2 linked regions of the Caenorhabditis elegans genome follow. The protein of the gene in region 1 interacts with the protein of each later gene in a pairwise test. Each region holds a gene or a part of one and is shown on either strand. Other genes may lie near its edges.

Region 1 (12,664 bases):
TTACAGTGTATGATTTTACTAATCTAGCTTTTGAAAAACAATTTTAATTCATTTCCTGTGTTTTCTACCCCAATGTTTTCTACCACAGGTCATCTGAAAATTACCCGGGAGTGGTTTTGGCGCTGGAAGCACTGGAAATATGTTGACTTTTTGCAAATTTTAAGTTCACGATGTACTGTGTTAAATTGAAAATTTTTCAGATCAAACCTGGAAAAATCATGTAAAATCCTTTTATCAATATCTCGAAGTGATAAACCTCATTTACAACAACTATGCCTCCATTTCACAACAACATGGAATCATGATCAATTTGCCGAAATCACAGCGCAATTTTCTCCGGAACACTCATTCCATTCTATTTTCATGAGCAAGAAAAAATCACCGAATTGGATAACCGGAGGATGGTCAATTGATCGACAGAAAAACATCACATCAGGCATTTTTCAACCGGAAAAACTTCGATTAAGTGCCACGTTTGTTGAAAGAACATCGAGATATATTGAGTATTGGCTACGAAACTTCCAAATCGACACGCTTCGGATTAAAGTGGAGAATTTGATTCCAGGAAAAGAGAATTCTATTCAACAGGTACGAACTTTACAGTTGAAGAAATAAAACAATTCTAATCTTCCAGAGCAACTATACCGGTGAAATTCCCCCGCTGAAACTTAAAAAATTAATTATTCATGGTGCAAATAACATTCGGTTTATAAATAATTGGTTGGACAATTTGGTTCCAAATGCGATTGATCCATTAGATGACAAAAAGAAGATCATTGACGTGGAATTTCTTGACGTGGGAAAGTTGGATCAGATTTTCCATCATTCTTTGGTAAGCCACAACATTAAAAAAAATTGTTTTGTATTTTTAGTCTGAAAAAAAAAAACAAAAAAACCAACAAAAAAAAGACAGCCCTGATCCCGATCAAGTTTAAGTTTCAAAAAAAATTAAAATTTAAAGCATGCATATGGCACCACAAAGACCAGATGTCGTAGTAAAAAAATTCAAAAAAAAATTGAAAATTTTATATGATTCTTTTTAATTGGAAAAGTCTCAGTTTTTCCACTTTCTAAAAGTCTTCCATCAAAAAAAAATTCCAATTTCATAGTCTACTTATGTTTCAAATATTCATACTCAAACATTGCAGGGATTCGAGTAGCAAAAAGTGGCAAAAACTCAGTAATTGCCACTTTTTGAAATTTTTTTCAAAAATTTTCAAACTTTTTTATAAAATTGTATTATGATATTTGGTCATTTTGGCACCTTAATCAAATTTGTTCATTTTTGCTTTTCTAAATTTGGTAAATTTAGGCAATTTCGAGAAATTATACAAGTGACAGTCCATTTTAACCAATTTAATTTCAAATTAACTAATTTTCAGATGACGACCGGAAAAGTGAATTTGACATTCAACAGAGTGAGCACTCATTTCACAAGAAAAACGTTGAATTTTGTGAACTCACCTATGATCAATATTGTGGCAAGGCAGGTACCATCAGAAGCTGTAAATTCTTTTTTAAAAGTGAGAAATTCTAACACAAGCTAATACTTATACCTTTCCTAATTTCAGCGCTGGTGTCGTGGAGAGATCATTGAAGATTTTCAATATCTTCATCTAATGGAAACAACTCAATGGCCATCCCAACAAATGCATATGATGGATGCACTTTCTGGATTACGGTATCAGATAGTTGATTTGAAGACTGATGTCAAATTGTGAGTTAGCTTCTTAAAAAAGGTCTTCTTATCTGAAAATTATTCTCAGGCGTATCCTGGAAAAACAAAAGGAATTTCCAAAACCTGCGCAAATTTTTCAAATAACTGGACCACGCCCCGGATTCTGTGCTCATTTTGGAAATCAATTCATCTTTGAAATTCCGAAGACCGAAGATATTCAACACATACTCGTCAATCCTCCAATCAGCCAAAACACCTTTGATGAATACGAAAGACAGAAAAATCGAATTTATATGGAGTTATTTCGTAAGAGATTGATTCGACTTTTTAATTAAAAAAAAAGAAGAACAAAAGAAATTAAATTTGGCAAGCGCGTTTTTCAGTATTATAAGAACGCAGAAAAATTCGCAATTTTGAAATCAAAGTGCAAGCGTGCTCCACGGCCAAATAAAAAATACTCCGTCCCCAAAATTGGGTCTCGTTAGGTATTTGGCTGCAAACCCAGCCAATTCAAACATTTGTGTAATTTTTTCTGAACTCAATGTGATTTCAAATAATTTTAAGGAATGAAAAAATCCTCGAAAATGCCAGAAAAATAAATAATAACGGGAATCATCTAAATTTCCTGTTTTCTCGCCAATATCTAACGAGACCCATAATAGATAGGCGGAGCGTTTTATTTGGCCGTGAAGCGAAATTTCATTTTGATATAATATTTGAATTTCTCCACTTTCTAAACTAATTTCGTTATTTTCTTGACTGGAAAAGTTTTTTTTTACATTTTAAATTTTTTGCGAGCAGGTCTCAATTAAATTTCACTCATTTTATTCACTTCAAAATTGAGGCGCTGGCGCTCTAAATTCTGACTCTCTACGGGCAAAATTGCATAATAATTTTAAAAAAAAATTAAATTCTTGAAACATCCGAATCCCGTCATTTTATTGTCACAGTGCATCTCAATATTATTACTTTTGTTCACTTTTCACGAGCTTATCCCCCCAAATATTGCTTTATCTCATTTATAATCATATTCGGAAAGGCTAAATTCTGAGAATGCGTATTGTGCTTCATATCTGACGCGCAAAATATCTCGTAGCGAAAACTACAACAATTCTTCAAATGACTACTGTAGTCCGATTTCGCGTATTATTTTTGTCATGTAATGCTTGAATATTTTTAAAAAATTGGAGGAAAATTAAATATCGATGTCACAATTAAAGAAGGTCCAGCCCGTAAATCGACACAAGCGCTACAGTAGTCATTTAAAGAATTACTGTAGTTTTCGCTACGAGATATATTGCGCGTCAGATATGATGTGCAATACGCATTCTCAGAATTTCGTGATCCCGTAATACGTTTCCTTTGTATTATCATTTCCAGCTAACGGTTTTAACACTTTAATTGGTATTGTTTCTTGTGAAAACTCCATAATTATTTATTTATTGTCTTTTAACTAGTTAATTAGTTAACATATAATTTCAAAGAGTTTATTTTTTCTGAAATAAATTATGCATATAATCTCAAGTGGCTCAAAAGTGTTAAAACCCGTGCAAAATATACAAAAAGTGATCACAAGCATTTCGGTGGGCATGGGGAAATATATAAAATTTGATACAAGGTAAAAATTAAAAAGAGGAAAAATTGGTAAGTAGGGAAATAAATTAAAAAATTGAAAGAATGAAAAGAAAATCAATAAATCAATCAGTTTTGCACTTGTCACATACTCGTTCACGTTCGTCTGCAGACACTTTGAGGCAGCGGCGGCAGAAAATCTGAAAAAAAATTAATAAAATAACTTTTTTTCTCCACATTATTCCTACCATTCCACACAAATGACAATGAATTCTTCTCTCAATCGTCGATGAGAACTCCCCTCGGCACGCTGGATTTGAGCATCTATCGGCTCCACGAAGAGGTTGCCATTTTAGTGAATATTTGGTCAGAGCCTCATCAGGATAGTATAACGATGAATCCATGACTCCACTTTCTTGACTTGTTGCTCTTTCCAGAATCGGTAGTGTAGAGCTCAATGGATCCAAAGGATGGCTTAAACTGAGATTCTTCAAATCATCAGTTGCACTGCTCATTCCACTATCAACCATATTCGTCGGTGTATTCGTTGAAGTTATCTGTTGATTTTGTTGTGTCTTCAGTTCGGCTAGTCTCGTTCTCAACTGTGCCACGTGGGATTCTAGTACTCCAACGTGCTCCATCGCAGCCATAGTTAGGTCTTCAAGCCGTTCTCTTGGTTGTAGACCATTGTCGAATCGATTATACATTGCAGTCCAAACTGTGAAGCGAGCTGCACGAGTGTCAAGATCCAGTAGAGCAACGTGTGCGGTAGGCTGGAAACATTTTAATTTAGATGATTGATTTTTTGGAATTGTTAGTATTATAATGCGTATTGGACAACATATTTGACGCGCAAAATATCTCAAACTACAGTAATTCTTTAAATGACTACTATAGCGCTTGTGTCAATTTACGGGATCGATTTTGGAATTGCCCGTAAATCGGCACAAGCACTACAGTAGTCATTTAAAGAATTACTGTAGTTTGAGATATTTTGCGCGTCAAACATGTTGTGCAATACGCATTTTCAGAATTTAATTTTCAGAAGATTTAAAAATTACCGAATAAAATGGATTCATATAGTCGTCATGACGCGCATCCATCCAAGTCCACAGAGATTTCGTGCGTTTTGACAGATTTAGATCCTGAAAAAATTGAATTATTTATAAATATCTAAGAGTAACGGTTCTTCAAAAGTTAATTTTTTAAACGCATTTTGGAGCGAGATTTAAATTTAATTTTTCAAAAAAAAGCGCGAAATTCAAATTTTTTAAAACATCTTGGTGCGAAATTCAATTTTTTTTCAAAAAAAAATGGAGAAATTTTAACTTTTTCCATTTTGGCGCGAAATTTAATTTTTTTTTCAATGAGTTTTGATGAAAAACAATCTAGAAAACTCTTACCCTTCTATCTTTATCACAATTTCCAATAAATGTTCCAAATTGACATGAATAGACGTGCTCGTGCATCTCAATCAGATATCGTTCGTTGAACTGAAAATTGAAGTTGAGATCAAGTTGGGAGTACTGTAGGATTACTGTATTTTTTGAAAATATCAGATCTTGTTTTTTCAAGGGATATTACTGTAGTAGTACTGTAGGAGGCACTAGTAAGAATATTGTAGGGGTACTGTAGGATTATTGTTTTTTTGGAAAAAAATGAGTTTCTGTTTTTTTCAAGGGATATTGTACTGTAGTGGGTACTATAGGAAAATTGTAGGGGTACTGTAGGATTATTGTATTTTTGGAAAAAATGAGCTTCAGCTTTTTAAGAGTGTAGTAGTACTGTATGGGGTACTGTAGGATTACTGTAGTTTTTGAAAAAAAAACAGTTTTTGTTTTTTCAAGGGGTATTATTGTAGTAGTACTGTATAGGGCACGGGGTACTGTAGGGGTACTGTAGTTTTAATTAAAAAGAATTTTGACGGGAATTTCATAACTAAATTTTATGAAAACATTTTTTCTAAAATTCGAGAACTTCTGGAACATCCAGAAAAATTTCGAAATAACATCAGTGATTTTACCTGGAAGGCTCGTGGTTTTTGTTGCATAATTTGCCAAATACAATCCAACCATTGAGTGAAAATCGGTGAAACTTCTTTTCCGGCTTCATCATTCAACGCCCCCACATGTCCACACCGATCATCGAATTTATGTCCAAAACCGAGCCAATCCTTCTCGATGAGAACTTGAAATCCGTGAATAGTACGGTAGTATGGGTCAAGAAGAAGTTGACAAAGTGCGACAACTTGCGAAGTCCGATCCCATCCATCCGAACAATGAACGACACATGATGTACCTCGACTGATGGATTCAGCCAAAAAAAGTGAGCATTCGACAACACTCCGCACGTGCTTCAACCATCCAGAAGCCTCAAGCGTTTTCCAGTATTCTGTGACGTCACGACACTTGGTCACCGCGTCGAGGAGACGTGCCTGAGATGCCCGCATCACATGAATATTCTCGATGTCGAAAAAGTGAAATCGCATATTTGAATAGTTCCTCTCATCTTCGAATCCTTTTCCCTGAACCTTATTCACCATCGCGTTGACTCGCGGCCGAGTATCTACCAGGAACAAGTTGTCCGAGTTTGTATTCGCTTTTCCTACCAACTCCATAAGCTTCTCATCCTCTACGCATCGTGCCGAGAATCCCGTCAGAGGCTGTGCACATCTACACAAAGCGGCTTCAGTTTGTTGATGGAAGTAGGTCAGTACTGGAAGACGGCCACGGCTTCGGAATTTGCAGGATCCTAGTAGAACTGATGTGGAGGCCGCTGTCGGAAACCACAGCTTATTGGGGTAAGTGTCGCAGATCGTGTATCCTTCATTGATATTCGATTCTGTCCATTGTGACTTTGTGATCCCTTGCCGTGTCATTTCTGAATTCCAATCCAATCTTCTCCATCCCCGAACGTCTTCTACGGGTTCTCGATTCTCAAACGCAAGCAGTTCCGTCACGTTCACTGAAACTGAAATCAGTCGACATTAGTGAATGAAGCACAGTATTTTCCTATGTTTTTAATATTTAAAGTGAATTGAGACAGAATGAGGTAATAACTCAAACTTAGAAGCTGACAAAAACCAAAAACTCGGCAAATCAACTAACGATGTTTCACGACATTTCATACATCTTTTATAATATATTTCACTTCACGCTAACATGTCACTTCAATCACTTACCAGGTTTTGCGGCACGTTGAAGCGTCTCGTATAGGTCTTGACACGATTTATCTCTACTGATCAGAAGTGTTATCACCTGAAACATTAAGCTTAATTAATTATTCACTCAAATCACAATAAATTATCTACAAACCTGAAAATGTTTACATCTAATCACTAGCATACATCCGGCAGCTGTTAGCGTCCCTTTTTCCACTGAAGAAATGAGCCCAGTCGCCAGCCATAACTCTTTTGATCCATTTTCAGCTCGGAAGATGATGTGTGTAGTTGTGACATGGACTGTGCCGACTAGATTCTCCTGACACCCTAGGCGATCGACAAGGCATACTTTATCCACCTGGAATATGGGAATTCGTTAGAAAAAACTGTAAATTTCGTATAATCTATTATAGGGCTAGCTTTCAAGTATTCTTCGTTCTTTTTGTCAAGTTTTCTATTATTTTTTAATAATTTCCATGTCGAAATTGAGAAAAAACCCATATTCGCTTCTCAAATTCACATGTATATTATTAAACATCATTTCGAAAAACCTAACAAAAAAAATGAAAAATACTCGAAAATAGGCGAAAACCTAACGAGACCCATCACTCGAAGGCGGAGCGCGTTTCTGTGTCTCCATAATATACACCCCTTTTCAAGCTTCTTACCATCATGGCAATTCGTCCATCTTCCCCGTAACCACACCCGGAATGAACCGACTCTCTTCCCATCAGAGAATCAACTAATCCATTAATTTTATCCTTCAACAGTGATCCGGCCACCGTAATATCTTCAGTATAACCCGACGACAGCGCCGACGGGGGTACTGTAGATTGCGGAGTGTTCGCCGTGTTGTTGTTCGTATGATGATGATGTCCGCCAAATACGAAATGCGAGCTCCACGAGGATGAGGAAGATGGAGTTGAGGTGGAGATTGATGGGTAGATACCCGACAGCGACATATTATTCCACCATGCCGACAGTGGTGTCGTCACCGATGAAGGTGTTGACGACATTTTTTGGCATTTAGGTGCTGGAAGAGTTGTTGGGGAATTTTTGGAGACTTTCGGAGTGGAACGGAGGAATAACGAACGAGATCGAATTCTTTGCATTTCAAACTACTAACTATCTAGAACGATGACACGCTCAATGTAAAAAAAAACAACGTCATCAATTTGAGAAGTGTTGCGAGGAGAAGAAAAAATGAAGAGAAGAAGGAAACGGATACAGCGCCACGTCATTTTTCTCATTTTTCTCCTCGGAAATTGAATAGATATTCAGTGAAAAGGATTCAATAAAAAGGATAATTTGATCAGAAAAGTGATACTAAATTGTAATACGGTATCCGGTCTCGACACGACAACTTTTTGTCAGAGGCGAAAAGGTGTGCGCTTTTGAAGATTACTGTAATTCCATATATTATGCAAAATATTTTTCATAGCTTTCCGATGAAAATGTAATAATTTAATTTCAAAAAATTAAAATGGAAATTCCGCAAACTTTGAAATTACAGTATTCTTTAAAGGCACACACCATTTTGCATTTGACAAAAAAAATTTCGTGTCGAGACTTATTGTTGGTGCAACAATTGCAAAATTGCAAAATTGACAACAAACGAAATCGAAAATTCAGAAATTTCCAGCATTCGAAAAAAAAAACGGAAAGGGGAAGCATAAAATCGTAAAGCCGTCGTCTGTCAACGTCTCCGTAACCCAATCCATTTTTCCTTTTCCGTAAGCTTTTTTGCAGCGGGAAAAGGGTGTGAAAAGCGAGAGAGGGAGTCCCTTGAAGTAAGTGTGAAAGGTCTCTACGCACATATTTTCTCGTTTTTTTTTCCTTAAAAAAAACTAAGGAGCAGAAAAAAAAAGGAGAAAAGTACTTTGTCTCGAAGAAGAGGACGGACGACATTGAAATTGGAGGAAGCAACCGGAAAGGGAAAACGGAAACAAAAACAACAGAGATGAGAACTTTTTTTTGAAACGAGGAAAAAAGATCCCTTGGGACCGAACTTTTTTGTTGAGTGAAACCGAGCAAAATGAGGTCATGGAAATGAGAGAGCTGGATTGAAGAGGAGAGAGAAGCTTGACGGATAAATTAAAAATGCGGCTGGTTTTTTTTCCATTTGAAACTAAAAAAAAACTTCTCTTCTGGTTTGAGGAAGAGAGAATTTTAAACGTTGTTTGCGTTTTTTTTTCATAGAAAAAACCGCGCTCCACGGAGAATTGAATACGCTCCGCCCCCGCGAGATGGGTCTCGTTAGGTTTTGTGGTTTTTAAAAAGGTTCTTATGTCAAAACAATGCTTTTCCTTAATAATCTCGACATAAAAAACATGAGAGATAACGAAAAAATGCTTGAAAATTAGAGAAAATGATTGACACAGTTTGAATTTCCGGTTTTTTCCGGAAAATACCTGATACCTAACGAGACCCAACTATTGGGGGCGGGGCATTTTTAATTGACAGTGGAGCGCGTTTCCACGATGAGTATTCTTGTAGAATTTATTACGGAAACACTAATTTCTGAGAATGCGTATTGAGGAACATATTTGACGCGCAAAATATCTCCTAGCGAAAACTGCAGTAATTTGTTAATAGACTACTGTAGCGCTTGTGTCGATTTACGGGCTCGAAAAAATTTATTTTCACGAAAAATCCTTTCCAAAATTTGAGCTCGTAAATCAACACGTAAATACAGTAGTCATTCAAAGAATTACTGTAGTTTTCGCTACGAGATATTTTGCGCGTAAAATATGGTGCGCCATACGCATTGTCAGAATTCTTCCGTAATAGGAAAGAAAACCTGAAAAATATCCTAAATCTATACATCGTCTAATTGTAAAAGAAAAAATGAGCAAAAATGAGCAAAACCGGGTGAAAAAGAGAAGCGTCTCCGTCATCTCGTCGTCGTCGTTTTTTTTTCGGTTTAATCAGCTCTTCCTTCTCCGTGTTTCTTGCTCATTTTTTTTTTCGCCGAAAAGATTGTGTGTGTGTCTTCGGGAAAATGGTCCATTGAAATTCAGTGAAGCAGAAAGAGAAGGAGCGCGCGAATTGGAATTTTTACATATATTTGAAACGCAAAAGGATCCTTGTTTATTTATAGAGAGATAGAAAGAGCTAGGCACAAAATAAAGATAGATTGAATGAAAAACATCGAGGAGGCACCACGCAGATACGGGGCGAAAACAAAGGAAACGATGAATTTGGAGCGAAAACCGAGAAGAACCTAAATTAGAGATAAAAAGGGAGAAGCCCTGGGATGCGTTGACAGATGACTGAATGTTGATGGACGACAGACGGGTAAGCTTGTTATTGGCTTTAGGAGCTAGAAAGTAGACAGCCGACGAGAAAAGTCAATTAGAAAGGGATAAATACTACGGATTTGCGGGTTTACTACAGATTTGATTCATGCGTGAGCTGGAATATATTTGATCTTGCATCAGAAGTTATTCTCATAATCATTTATTCTATAGACAACTTTCTTAGTAGCCAATCTAATATTCTTCGCAATTTATCAGTCAAAGGAATTATGAATTCTGAGAAAAGTCGAATTACTGGCTTTTTTCAACAAGGATGAAGCTTTTTCGATTTAAAAATTTTTTTAATTTTTAAAAAATTTAAAAAATTTTTAATTTTAGAGTTGTAAAATATCCTTTGACATCAAGTTTTTCCGATTTTTTTATATTATTTTTCAGAAGAATCAACAAGTTTCCATTTTCCCAGTCTCAAAAAAGGATGTGTGCCTTTAAGGAGTACTGTAATTTCGACCTTTTCTGAGTTTTAATTAATTTCTAACAGTATTCAAATTTATGTTTATTTAAAACTAAAATCAAACATGAATTTGCAAAAAAAAAACAGTAGAAAAACTAGGAAAATTCCGACACAACGAAAGTTTGAAACTACAGTACTCTTTAAAGGTGCACACCTTTTCACATTTAACAACAATTGTCGTGTCGAGACCGGTTACCGTATTTTTAGCGCAAAAATTTTTGCAAAATTAATTGAATATGAAAACTTCAGAGCCAATCAATTTTGAAAAAATTGTAACTTCGTAAAATTTTGACACTCCAGTTTAAAGGCACACGATGTTTGTCCGAGTGGGTCTCGCCACGATCTCAGTAATACAATAGTCGCCTAGTGTGAAAATTTTTGCGAACGGATAATATTTTGAAAATTTCGAAATTCAGCAGATTTTGATTCACATCAAGTTTGCGAAACTTTCATCACAAACAAACAAAAGTGGAAAATCTTAAAATAAACGACAAGACCACCACAGACACTACAAAATGACGCGCGCAGAGAAACGAGTGGTAGTAGTGGCTCCAGAGAGAGCCAGAGAGAGAGGGAGATCGGGAGAAGTTGTCGTCAGGAAGAGGAAATGAGGGACCGACCAAAACTAGTAGAAGAATAGAGAAAAAAGAGTTGGTGCCTGGAGTTGCCCCGGTCGGTTGGTTGAGGGGCAATCTCTTGAATCTCGTCGCATGTCAACCTCATTACATTATTCGACGAAACAGATGGATCTGGTGGAACACTTTTTTGGGAGAAGCGGGGAGCCAAAAAAACACGGAGGAAATTGAATAAATCTCGACGGACAACTCGAAAAAAAAGCAAAAAAAGCACAGAAAACCCAAATATTTATAATCAAATTGACCATATATTCTGCGCGTGGGGTCTCGCCACGCGTTCTGCGAGTTACTGTAGATCAGGAGTGGGCGGCAAACGATTTTTTCCGGCAAATCGGCAATTTGGCGGAATTTAAAATTTCCGGCAAACCGGCAAATTGTGGTTTGGCACTTATTTTTTGGAATGCCAATTTCAAATGGCAAAATTAAACGCATCATATGAATTTTCCTATATCTATTTTGATAAGTACGCACATTCTATGAAAACATGTAGAAAAAACGGGAAAAATTCAAAAAATTGACAGTTTTAAGTGATTCCGTCTTATAAAAAATACAGTAACTCGTTGTCCGCGTGGCGAGACCCATGGGCGTACGAGATGGCCAGAATTCTCATGCTTAAGTAATAAAAAATCATTTAAATCTTCCAGAAAATTGAATAAAAATTCGATTTCATTTAAGTTTTCAGTTGATTTTTTTCGCTACTTTTTTGTAATATTTTTATTTTCTGGAAGGACAAAGTCCTAACAACTTTTGCGTACTTTTTTTCGGGTGACGAGAAAATTGGCGGATACCGCCATTATCCATATTTTATTTATTCTACTCCTGCTTTTTGATCGCCGCCAGCCCGTGGAATAAAAGAGATTTGTTTACAAAATTTCATAAAACGCTCACCTTCGAAATGCCAATGTCCTCGAATCGCATTTTGAAACCCCCGAACCGATCTGAAAATTGGCATTTTATTTTAAGCTTTAAATCTAAACCATATGGCAAATGAAATATAATAAAGGGAGAAAAATAATCAATTCTGCTCGGATTAGTGGTGTCATAACCCGAGGAAACTACGAGTGAAATGGGGGGGGGGGGGGGGGGGGGAATTGGCGTCAGAGACGCGAGATTGCGTGCTAGTGTTTGCAGATTTTTGGTTTTTTTCAGAAAAAAATTTTTTTTTAGATAAAACTTTCATTTCTATCTGCAAATAGGAAAAATATTGAAAAAAAAAGAAAGTATAAATACAAATACATGTGGAAGATGGAATTTTACACGAAGACAAATCTCAAATCTAATATCTTAAATTATAGTACACAAATCAAATCACAAGTTCAAATTCAAATTCAAATTAAACTTTTTCGAAGAGAATTGCGATTCCTTGTCCTCCTCCAATGCAAGCCGATCCGATTCCGTACTTGACGTTGCGGCGGCTGAAAGATTTTAGAAAAATTAGATTATGGATATAATTCAAGTTTTGGTGACATACTGAAGCTCGTGCACAATATGCGTGGAAATTCTGGCTCCAGATGCGGCGAGTGGATGGCCCAAAGCGATGGCTCCACCATTGACATTCAGCTTTTCCATTGGGATTCCGAGTTCACGTTGAACGGCGAGAGCTTGTGGAGCGAACGCCTCATTTACCTGGAAAAAATAAATTTAAGACTGAATGTGGAAATAGTTTTATATCGTAATTCCACCTTATTAAAGGCGCACGGATTTATCCAAATGGGTCTCGGCGCGCAAAAAAGTTTATGGTTGCGTTTTTCGATGAAATTACTTCTTTTTCTTTTGATTTTTCCGTTAAAATAGTTTAAAATCATATTTCAAAGTACAATTAAACTCATTTTCGGCCTATTTTAGCAGAAA
Region 2 (10,475 bases), on another chromosome or scaffold:
AATTGAATTTCGAATCTAATTCTTCTTCGTTTCCGAAATAATGGTTCAGACTTCAGATATATGACCCAAAAATGATAAATTAAAAATATTATTTTAAAACTTATTAGGTAGCACCTTGAAAAGTCTTATTTCTAAATTTTTGAAACGAAATAGCCATTTTAATCACGGAACTGTAACCAAGAAATATTATTGAAAGCGAATTGCCGTCTGTTGGGTTTTTTAATCTTAAAGTAAAGCTATATTCTGAAAACTATTTCTACTATATTTTTTAATTTTGAACTGTTCTCGAAAAATAGGGTTTCCCGAGGGTTTAATAGTGACCAACATCATTAATGACTCACTGAATTAAAAGAAATTTCAAAAATAGATACGGACATTGCATTTAGTCGCTCATTTTTTTCTTAGGTTAAGCTCAAAATTTTAATGATCCGACTAGTTCCAACTGACCACTGACCACCCCCAAAGTAATTGTATTATGTCTGGATGGGGGTTCCAGTGAAATTAAATTATGAAATACATATTTCTTTAGTTTATAAAAATAATTGAGTTAATGTCATCCTGTATAAGAATATTTCTCTGTTTTCAGCCTAATTGTAGTGTGAGCTCTGATAAATTATTCAAAAGAGCATGAAAATAAGGTGTGACGCCTTTTTTATCAACCATGAATGGGAAAACTAAACGTTTTTGTTCCGGAATTATTTTTTGAATTTTTGAGCCTCACTGATCTTTTGTTACTGTCATTTTTAATTTTAAGTTAGGATTTTATAGGTTTTGAAAGAAATTTTTGAATAAATGGTTGTTTCAAAAAATTGATTTAAAATTTTAAAAAATGGAAGTATGCAAAACTGTAATTCTGAATTGTGTTTTTGCAAAAAAGTGTATTTAAATTGCTATAATTTTCTACTGAAAATTTAGAAAGTTATTTTTTGCTCGAGAATTCATTTTCGTGAATTTTAATGGTGAGATTCATTAGTGTTTTCCAATTTTCCATTCAAACTCCCATGATTTCCTAGACTTTTCAATCATTTTATAAACGTTTAAAGTTCACCGATTCATTGCACTTAATAGCCTCCTTATGACTCCACCCTCATTTTTTCTAGACATTGTATTTTTGTCTCTTTTTTTCCAAAAATGGAGGCAATCTCAAACACCTTCTTTTGTCGTTTATTTCCTTCAAAACGTTGCGACGTCGTTGTCGTGCTCAATTCAACAGAGCAGAAGATAATTGGAAAATGGGCACAAGAAGAGTAGGGGTCTATCGAAATATATATGCAGGACACGTGAGAGGAAAGAAATAGAGAGAAAACCTCCCATATGTTGCATGATATAGGTTAGTTAACTCAGGCAGTTCTGGGACAAACAACCTTTTTTGCGCTTTTTTAAATCACATTGAAATCGCGATTCAATGCGAAAGGAAAACGTTCGGTTAACCATTATTTGGGTCTCGTTAAGTATTTGCGGCTTGAAGTGATCTTGCTTTTAGACCAAAATAGATAAATCTACGGAAGATTTAGAATTCTCGAATCTGAGCTTTCACGTATCGTTTCAGTCACTTGCTGAATATATTATGGTACTTATGTAGTAGTTGTACCCCAAAATTTTTGCAATGGATGACATTTTTTAAACAAAACTTACATAGAAAATACAATTCGACTTGAAACCAACTAAAAATATAATATTAGAGTGCACGGAACTTTAGAGTTACCGCGAGAAAATTGTTGCAATTTTCAGGACGTATCAAAGTATTTCCAGTGCTTGTTGTTTCACTATTTGAAATTTTTCAGGCAACTACTTTTTTGATCGTTTTCTTATTAGTTGTGCTTCAAAATATTTTTCATTTTGAATAGAAAAGCTATAAGCAAAAAGGTCTACAAACGTTTGATATTGGGACCCATTTCATTTTTCTTTCAAGGTTACACAATTCCACATCAATTCTGATTTTTAAGAAATGTTCATTTTATTTGGCCACTGATTATTTTCTCTTCCACCTTCCAGTTTCCTCATGTTTCAAAGGCCTCTATTTCCATGTTTCCAATTATTTCCCGATTTTCATTTGGTTTTCAATTATTTTTCTCCAACGCCCCCATGGCTCTCAGGTAATCAGTGTTTCTTGTGGTAAAGAGGAAAGCATGAAAACAAAATATCCCGTGATTCATTTTTCTTATCTCTTTTTTCTAGGGCTTCTGTCTACAATTCGCCCTTTTTTGTGAAATTCACCTGATGAAAATGCTCCTCTTATTCCGATAAAGCAACGATCTCTTTTAAAATCTGAAAAGTTATCAAGACTTAAAAAATTAATTTGTGTTGAAGAAAATTGCTTGATAATATTTTTATATCTGTTTATGAAAAATTCAGTTAGTTTCATACTTTTTTTTGAATAAGAGCAGTTTGATGATCTATTAATTTTTTTTGATTTTTATAAAGTCGTCAAAAATAATTGAAACCCGTTTTTCGCACAATGGTCTTGAAGTGGTAATATACACAGTTAAAATGCGATGTGCGCATAGTGGGTGTAAGGCCATAATGCGCGCATCGCGTGTGGCGACCACCCATTATGGGCTCATCGCGAACGGTTCGCGATGGGCCCATAATAAGTATATGATGCTTCCACTCGCGAAACAAGAAATTCGAAATATATATTGTTTTTTCCGCCTATTTTTTACCATTTTATTGCATTTTTAATTGAATTTTTATTTTTTTCACTGGTTTTTTCGTGAATATTTGTTTTATATGTGGTATTTTGTAATAGTCATAATATTTTTTCTAAATTGTGGGTCTTATAGAGAAAACACTGCTCTAAGCAGTTGAAGCATTTAAAAACATTATTTAAACAACATGACAAGCAGTATTTCAGTCCTAATAAATGGAAGCATAGTCTGGATTACTGTAGTTTCACATATATTTAGTCGTTAAAATTGTAATCTGAGTTTTTATCGGTATTTGCGCATACTCAGAAGATTTTGTAAAATATCTTGTCTGTTCCTGTATTTTCAAGAGCGAAATATCACCAAAATCAGATTGTTCCGTTGAATCTGGAAATGCCCACTGTTCTTCATGCCTACTTATCATGTCTACTCGTGTCTATTTCTCATCTGCGTTATAATTCACCTTTTAAATAATATTGTAGAAACAATTTTTTTGCAGCTTCTCTTCGAGCAGCAGACTTCACAAAAATTCCATCAACAGGAAAAACGTGAAAATCTTCAACATCGGAATGTCTAAGCGAAGAAACAGAGTGTTCAGACCTGTCTTGGTAAAATGTATCCTAACAAAAAAAAAGCTCAATTTTATTATTTTCCAGAAAACATTGTTGTCGAACAAAGTAATGATGATGAATATGAAGAAATGATGAGGTAGATGACGATACTTCAGATGGAGTAGTGCCGGAGAACATCAGCGAGGAAAATTTCGAAGAGAACTTGGATATCAATGGGGACGAGATGGATGTCGGAACGGAAAACGAAGGTATTTATTAATTTAAGAAAATGTATACGAAAATGTATAGAAAATGTATAGAAAATGTATAGAAAATGAAAACGTATAATTATATACGTCAAAGTTACCCGCGTTCAAAAAACTACAAAAACCTCACATTTTACTGGAATACCTAGAATAAATTGGTTAACCTTGAATAATCTAAAACATTTTTGTAGATGTCGACTCGAATTCGTGGAACAAGAGGAGGACGAGATGATTCGAACTGAAGGACCATCCAAGGCCTCCGAACTTCCGATTCGTGAGCAGAGCAAGAGAAAGGAGGCTGTTAGTGATGCCGATGAGTCCAAGCAAGATGAAGACGATTTTTAAGTAATTGTGTTGTTTAAGATTTCAATTTGTTAATACTAATGTTATCTTTTTGTCGTTCTCCCACTTAAGTCATGTTTATAAATGTGTTTTTGTTTAGAAAATTGTCTTAAATGCTCAGGATTTGCGGGGTTTTCTAGTTTAATTATCAAAAAACCCCACAGTGCGCCCATAATTTATGTTCGCGATGCTCTCAAAATGCATCTCAAGTTCGCGATGGACGCACAATGCGCGCGGAATGGGCATAATTTCCGGTTCCTTTTTCTCACACGCGCGATCCACGCCGAAAACACTATGCGCACATCGCATTTTAACTGTGATATGTAGCTCAAACTCTGTTTTTTTCTCCAGAGTTTGCTAGAGGAATTCAAACATTTTTTGTAAGAAATTCTTAACTGTTCTCAGCAAAGAAAAACAATGACTATGTGTACTAAATCCTATTATTTTGTGTCAGTCAGTATTAAATGTGTGTCTGTGTGTATGTGTGTGGTCTCATAGTGCCACCAAAACCGCCATCGTTATAAACGGAGCCAACATATTCGGAGAAACGTGTGTGTGTTCCTTCTGTCTCCCCATGCTTCTATAGTGTCTAACTAATTATGCTTCACAGAGACAACGAGAGGAGGCAAAAAAAATGTGAAAAAAGTTGAGTTGTGAGACATAGTCTGACTCTTTTTTTTTCAATTATTTTAGTCCATTGTGCTATTTGAGACTTTTTATATGACGAGTAGGTTACAGGAAATAATTTTCACAAATACACTAGATATATGTGGAAATACTTCTAAACCTTTGAATTACTGATTTACAATTGTTTGAGCAAGACAATTACAAAATTGACGTTATTCAGAATAGATTTATTAGCTATTACAAAAACAAAAATGTAGAAGTAGAGGAGCATTGTGAACTTGAAAAAAATATTTTTTATATTGCTTTAGACAATGTTTCAGTCTAGTGAAAAATTCTGTGAAAAGTTTGAGATATACCTTTTCTAGTTCACATAAATCCTCCTCTGCTAAAATTTTTGTAGCAAGCTATTCTAAAGATCCTTTTTCAAATGATATAGGCATCATTCGAAAGTCAAAATTTGAGCTGAAATACCCTTGTTAGAAGCCCCAAATGGAAAATTTTCAACTTTTCTGGAAGTGTTGCAGTTTTTTTTAATTTAAAAAGTTTTAAAGCACTATTTACAGATTTCTTGTCAAATGTTTCATAAAGTTCTCATTTTTTCATCATCTTGTCAAATTTCCGGTTTAACCAATCTTTGACTACTTTATTCCATTCTACTTTTAAACAGGAAATTACATTTCATCACACTTGTTTTTATCCAATTTCAACACATTTTTCAAACTATGAACTTTAAGAATATCGTCTATTTAATTAGAAAAATTCCAGAATTCAAAAATGAAATTGGAAGAAGCTGTAAATGCAGCTCAGATTCAGAGGAATGAATCAGTGACGTCATCAAGTGCTGGTGATGTAAACGAAATTCCAAAAACGAATGGAGGTCCAGGACATCCAATTGTTAGAAGAAAAAGTGGAATGATGGGGAAGAAGTTTCCATCGCTACAAGTAAGTTTTTCGCAAGATGTTTAAAAATCTGAAAACTCTAGACATCCAAACACTAAAATTGGAATTCTAGAACTGGATTTTTTAGACTTAATAATTAGTCTGTGAAATGTTGCTTGCTAAAAACGTTCTTTTAAAAAACTAGCAAATGAACCCGTTAATTTGGGAACGGCAACAATATTAAACTCAAATTTATGTAAACACTTTTTCTTTTGAAATTCATCAGAGCATATCTGAATATATGTTCTAGATGCTTGTATTCCTTTTTATATTCAAAAATGGAACACATAAATTTTTGTTATTTTTCTTTCTACTATCTATAAATCAATAATAAGAGTTCTAATTTTGATTTTTCAATTTGCGAAATTGACATTTTTATAATGAAAATTTATGAGTCTAGCTAGGTAATTTTGCATTTGGAACATGCGATCATAGCTCACAATTATAATAGCATTTGGGGTTTTGTATGAACTTTTGAAATTAGATAGGGCGCTTGTATGACCATTGTCGAAAAAACACATTATTAAAGTTTCTGTTTCTTTCAAAAGTTATGGGATTTCGAAAATACCAGCAAATTAAAAAATGGGATAATAGTCTTAACTGCAAAAAGTTACGGCAATCAGTTCAACTATGTATTAGATTTTTGAATTTCCCACTCGTTTTTGTAGATATATAAAAAATGCGTATTTTCCTGTTAAACATATACATGTATACATTAAAATTGGTGTTAAAAGATTATTTTCGTAACGACAAAATTTTCATGAATTGCAAACACAATTTTTGATTTTGACAAATTGGAGTCAAAAGAATTGTCTAAACTTACAACCAAGCATGGTATCATTTAAAATTCAGTATTTTCATTGGGTCACTGTCTGGAAAATTTATCATTCGCCTAGAGTTTCATGTGTATCCATCCTGTTGAAGGAACTGTAAGCAAACTCAACAAGACGAATCACTGTAAAGCCAATGAAAACAATGATAGTCTTACATCTGAAATCTAAAAAATATCCAAAAATAATAAGTAAGTATCCCACACATACTCTCCGCTCATAGATCTATCCGTTTCTTTTTCATTTGCTTTATTTTTCACTAATTGGACCTTTGGTCTTTCTTCATCTCCTGCTCTTTTTCCTTAGCTCCTTCCAATCAGTTCGAGACCTCCATCCAGACATTTCTGGTTTTATTTTTATGTGTATACATAATTAATTAGGTGGAAGGTTTGGAATGAATTCAAAGTTGTTTTTTGTGCATTTTAATGTTGAGAAATAGAGAAAACTGTATAAACATAATTTAAGAAATACTTGAAATTTTATAAATTTTTTAGGTATCCCATTATCCTGTCCTTCTTCTTTCAAATTCCTCGGCTGACAATTCAACAAATCCCCACCCAAGTGTCACTTGGAAAACTAGGTAAGTCGAAAATTGCACATAAAAGTATGATAGAATTCTAAAATATTCAGAATTGTATTACTCCTGTACGATTTTTTGAAAAACATCTAGATACTACTTCTCATTTTAAAACCTTAAAACAATAATTAAAGTGAAGTACTTTTTGAATTTTTTTAGCCAACAAACCGACACGGAGCCAACAAGACCCGAAATACTCGAGGAATCGCTACCAAAAGTGAGAAAATCTAGCAGTGGACTGAAACAGGTCAGTGCTTTTGATGAGGTAGTATTTCATAAATTTAGATATTGCAGTCATCGGTGTCCGCCAGGAATTCTCTTGATTTCCGGGAACGTCCACGATTTGTTCGAACATCCACTACGACCTCAACATTGTCTCCAACTTCCGAAAAACCGCCGATGCCCTTGGGTAAGTATTTTGCTAGAAATTTGATTATTTTTGCAAAAATACTATTAATTATGAAAAAATTCGATGAGAAACGAATATTTAAATTTTAAAAGAATACTGTCATTTTTTTTGGTGAAGATTTATTCTAGAGATCATATTTTGAATGACATTGATTTTTTTGAAGTCCAAAGCTAAATGTACTTCTCTTGTTAGAAAACTATCTAATACGAAATCAATATCATATATCTTGCAGTTTCCAACACAAAAATCAAAAGTATCGATAGTTTCATTTTCTCTTTTTTTTAATCATTGATATTTTAGTTATCATATTGTGTCAAAAAATTCAAAAAATGATGTGGGAGCACACATCTTTTTGTTGAGTATCCATGTGTTGGTGCGTGTCAAAAATATGATGAGCGTAGAGTTTGATGTGGGTTGAGTTCGTTGACTAGATGAAATGATTGACAACGAAACACGTGAGAAAAAGTGGACTTTTTGAGTGAGAAGACAATCAGGTGAATATAGAAACAAATACACAATAGTGTATTTTTGGAATGGGAAAATAGAAAATTTAACGAATAATATAATAGAAAAATAAAGAAATAGAAACGCTTTGCTAGTCTAGGAGTAGAAAAAGGGTCAATATTCATAACTCTTGCCAGTTTTGGAATAACTTTTTCAGGCGGCCTCTGTTCGATCTTGTTCTATGGTTTTGATTTCTTGTTCATTGATTTTTTTTGGCAAATCAAGTTGTTTTCATTATCAACATCATCATCGTAAGATGATAGGTTGACAACTATCATCTTACAAACTTATAAGGATCCCAAAACTTACAGTTATAATTTCACTTTAAAACTCAAAGTTTTCAACTTCCCGAGCATAAAAAACATTTTAAATTTTCTGGTTTTCCAGGTATTAAATGAGAAAAATATAAAAACTTGAGTTCTGTGGAATGTTTTGGCCGGAAAGAAGTTCATGTGATTTCGAGAAATGTTCGTATGATGCGATTGATAAAACATAGGAAACATGCAATTTCCGTTCAATTTTCAACAAAAAATTTACCAGTTTTTATAGGATTTGATGTAAAAGCTTCGTTTTATTACTTCTGAATGAAACTTTCAACATAAAACTTCTGGAGCAGTATACACCTATAGCTGGTCGATCTGAACTTTTTATAATTTAGAAAGAGCATTTTCAAATCTAATATGATGCTTCGTGATCCTAAGAATAACTAAATATTTTTTAAATATTTTTTTCGAAACAGCCCAATTTTTTGTTGATCAAATAAAAAACCTTCTAGAGCACTTGTATCGAAAGTAATGAACACTCTATTGAAAAAAAAAATTAGATTCCGACTTTTTTGAACTATGATGGATATCGTGTTGAACTATAATGGATACCTACATTTTCAATTTTTGAAAACGTGGGCATTATCTCTTTTTCTCATGTCATTTATTATCAATTGATAAAGATATTTTTCCATTAGGTTTTTCGTTCTTCAATCACTGGGATCTCTGTCCCTCAACCTATGTCCCAATAGATGATAAATTGAGAATCACTGATGAATCTACTCTTTTTCTCTCAATCTCCTCAATTTTTCTTTTCTTCACTTATTTTGGAGCATAAGAATGTCTAGAATACAAATGAAAAGTTAACATTTTGGAGCATAGGACAGAGAAATCATGAGATATTTTGGGTTTATATTTGTCTGGCACTAGATTTTCACCAACTTTACTTTCTTACCTGTTCTCAGTTTTTATATATTCAAGAATTTACCGTTATTTTGTGTGTTTATGGTAAATTTTCGAAAATTTAATTTTTTATTTCTAAAATTTTCTCTGAAATAGTACTTTTCCCTTATAATCAACAAAAAACTATAAAAATGAGAAAACAAAAATGATGTTTGCCTAAAAATAAATCGGATTCAGTCAGTCTCCTCTTTTCGTTGTTTCTCTTTTTGTCTCAGAATGTCCTAATAAACTCAATTTTATCTCTTGATCCCTAGGACGACAAATACTTTTTCTTCGTCTTTTCCTTATGTTTTTGTCTTCATTTTCATTCTTTTTCAGTCTAGAAGTTCTAAGTTCCAGAATAAAAATGACACAGAACCCCACATATTGTTTAAAATCTTTTTTTTTTATTTTTTCAAGCATTTTGTTAACCCTTTGAAAAAAAATGTTGAGTTGATATATTTTAAATTTTTCAATATCTATAAAAAAACAAAACACATTGGCATAATGCCAAAAACATTTTTTTTGCGTTCTAGTTTCCTGATTCTCTGTATTTATTTTCTTTTTGTCTGCTAGAAAATGTAAAGTGTCACAAAAACTTGTGAGATTTTAGGGAACAAAAAAAAACGTTTTCACATATTTTTAATTGGAAAATTTAGTTGCATTTTCAAAGATCATCAATTCAAAACATTAGAAGTAGATTCTAACTTTAAAAAAAAATTAAAAACTGTCAAATTCCATTCCTAACATTCTAAAAAATATAGTAGGCTTTTGAAAAAAAGAGTGAATACATTGTTTAAATTGCAAAAAAAATCAAGATGATGTTGAAATTTTCGTTTTTAAGATTAAAAAAAAAAGAATTATATCTAACACTTAAGAAAACAGTTGAAGTCAGCATGTCTACAAACAGAACACATATTAAAAATTTGAATTTTTGCGTAAAGTGATTTTCAGTCCCTTTTTGCTTTGTTTTTATTTTTCAAGTGCAAATCTTTGAAGAAAATTTTTTTTTGAACATTTATAGAGATTCAAACATTCGACATTGTTCTTAATTGAAACTTTTTGTCGCTACTTCATTTTTAAAATTATTTTGTGTTCACGATACTTCTGCTTTCATGAAAAATCCTACAACTTCCTTATTCCATCACATGTTCAAATTTTTGCTACTTTTCTTCAATCTCCAATCAAATTTTCTTCTTCAAACGTTAAAAATGTCTTTATTCTATTCCATTCTTTGTCCTTTTTCACTGCCTTCAAGCGTCTTTGTTTCCCATGTCTCAATCCACTCGAATCTCATTTTCTGAAACTTCACATATTCAGTCTTTTTTGGCGTCTGAACTCGTTCAATCCGTCAAAATTGTGCAATTACTTCAAGTTCCGCAATCGCGGAACCATCGTGCTAATAGCATTGACTTTGTTGATCTGCGAAATCTTAGAAAAGGTAAGTAATGTTGTCATTTATTGGTAATTTCTTTTTGAAATTTACGGTTTGAATTGCTGAACTCAAAAGAGTAAAACTTAATTGTGAAAAAGCGTTTCTTTGTTGAAAAAAAATTTTCTTACTGTCAAAACTTTGCAGT

The links.
Region 2: the proteins of mtm-6 (region 1) and kcnl-2 interact in a two-hybrid assay, tested with the Caenorhabditis elegans proteins (one study listed by BioGRID).

What each region holds. Positions count from the first base shown.
Region 1 is NC_003281.10:13,346,172-13,358,835, reverse strand, and holds mtm-6 (phosphatidylinositol-3,5-bisphosphate 3-phosphatase), read right to left. Parts: upstream 7,444-12,664; 5' UTR 7,427-7,443; coding exon 7,079-7,426; intron 6,769-7,078; coding exon 6,565-6,768; intron 6,508-6,564; coding exon 6,432-6,507; intron 6,221-6,431; coding exon 5,274-6,220; intron 4,744-5,273; coding exon 4,654-4,743; intron 4,396-4,653; coding exon 4,312-4,395; intron 4,024-4,311; coding exon 3,499-4,023; intron 3,451-3,498; coding exon 3,376-3,450; 3' UTR 3,152-3,375; downstream 1-3,151. Other genes in the region: F53A2.9 (F-box associated domain-containing protein), read left to right, coding at 201-588, 635-832, 1,383-1,523, 1,572-1,717, 1,767-2,013; acaa-2 (3-ketoacyl-CoA thiolase, mitochondrial), read right to left, coding at 12,147-12,228, 12,285-12,439. UniProt on the Caenorhabditis elegans protein: Probable lipid phosphatase that specifically dephosphorylates the D-3 position of phosphatidylinositol 3-phosphate and phosphatidylinositol 3,5-bisphosphate, generating phosphatidylinositol and phosphatidylinositol 5-phosphate.
Region 2 is NC_003279.8:8,169,683-8,180,157, forward strand, and holds the start of kcnl-2 (Calmodulin-binding domain-containing protein), read left to right. Parts: upstream 1-5,205; coding exon 5,206-5,373; intron 5,374-6,487; exon of another isoform or gene 6,488-6,502; intron 6,503-6,694; coding exon 6,695-6,780; intron 6,781-6,936; coding exon 6,937-7,024; intron 7,025-7,071; coding exon 7,072-7,186; intron 7,187-10,223; exon of another isoform or gene 10,224-10,336; intron 10,337-10,475.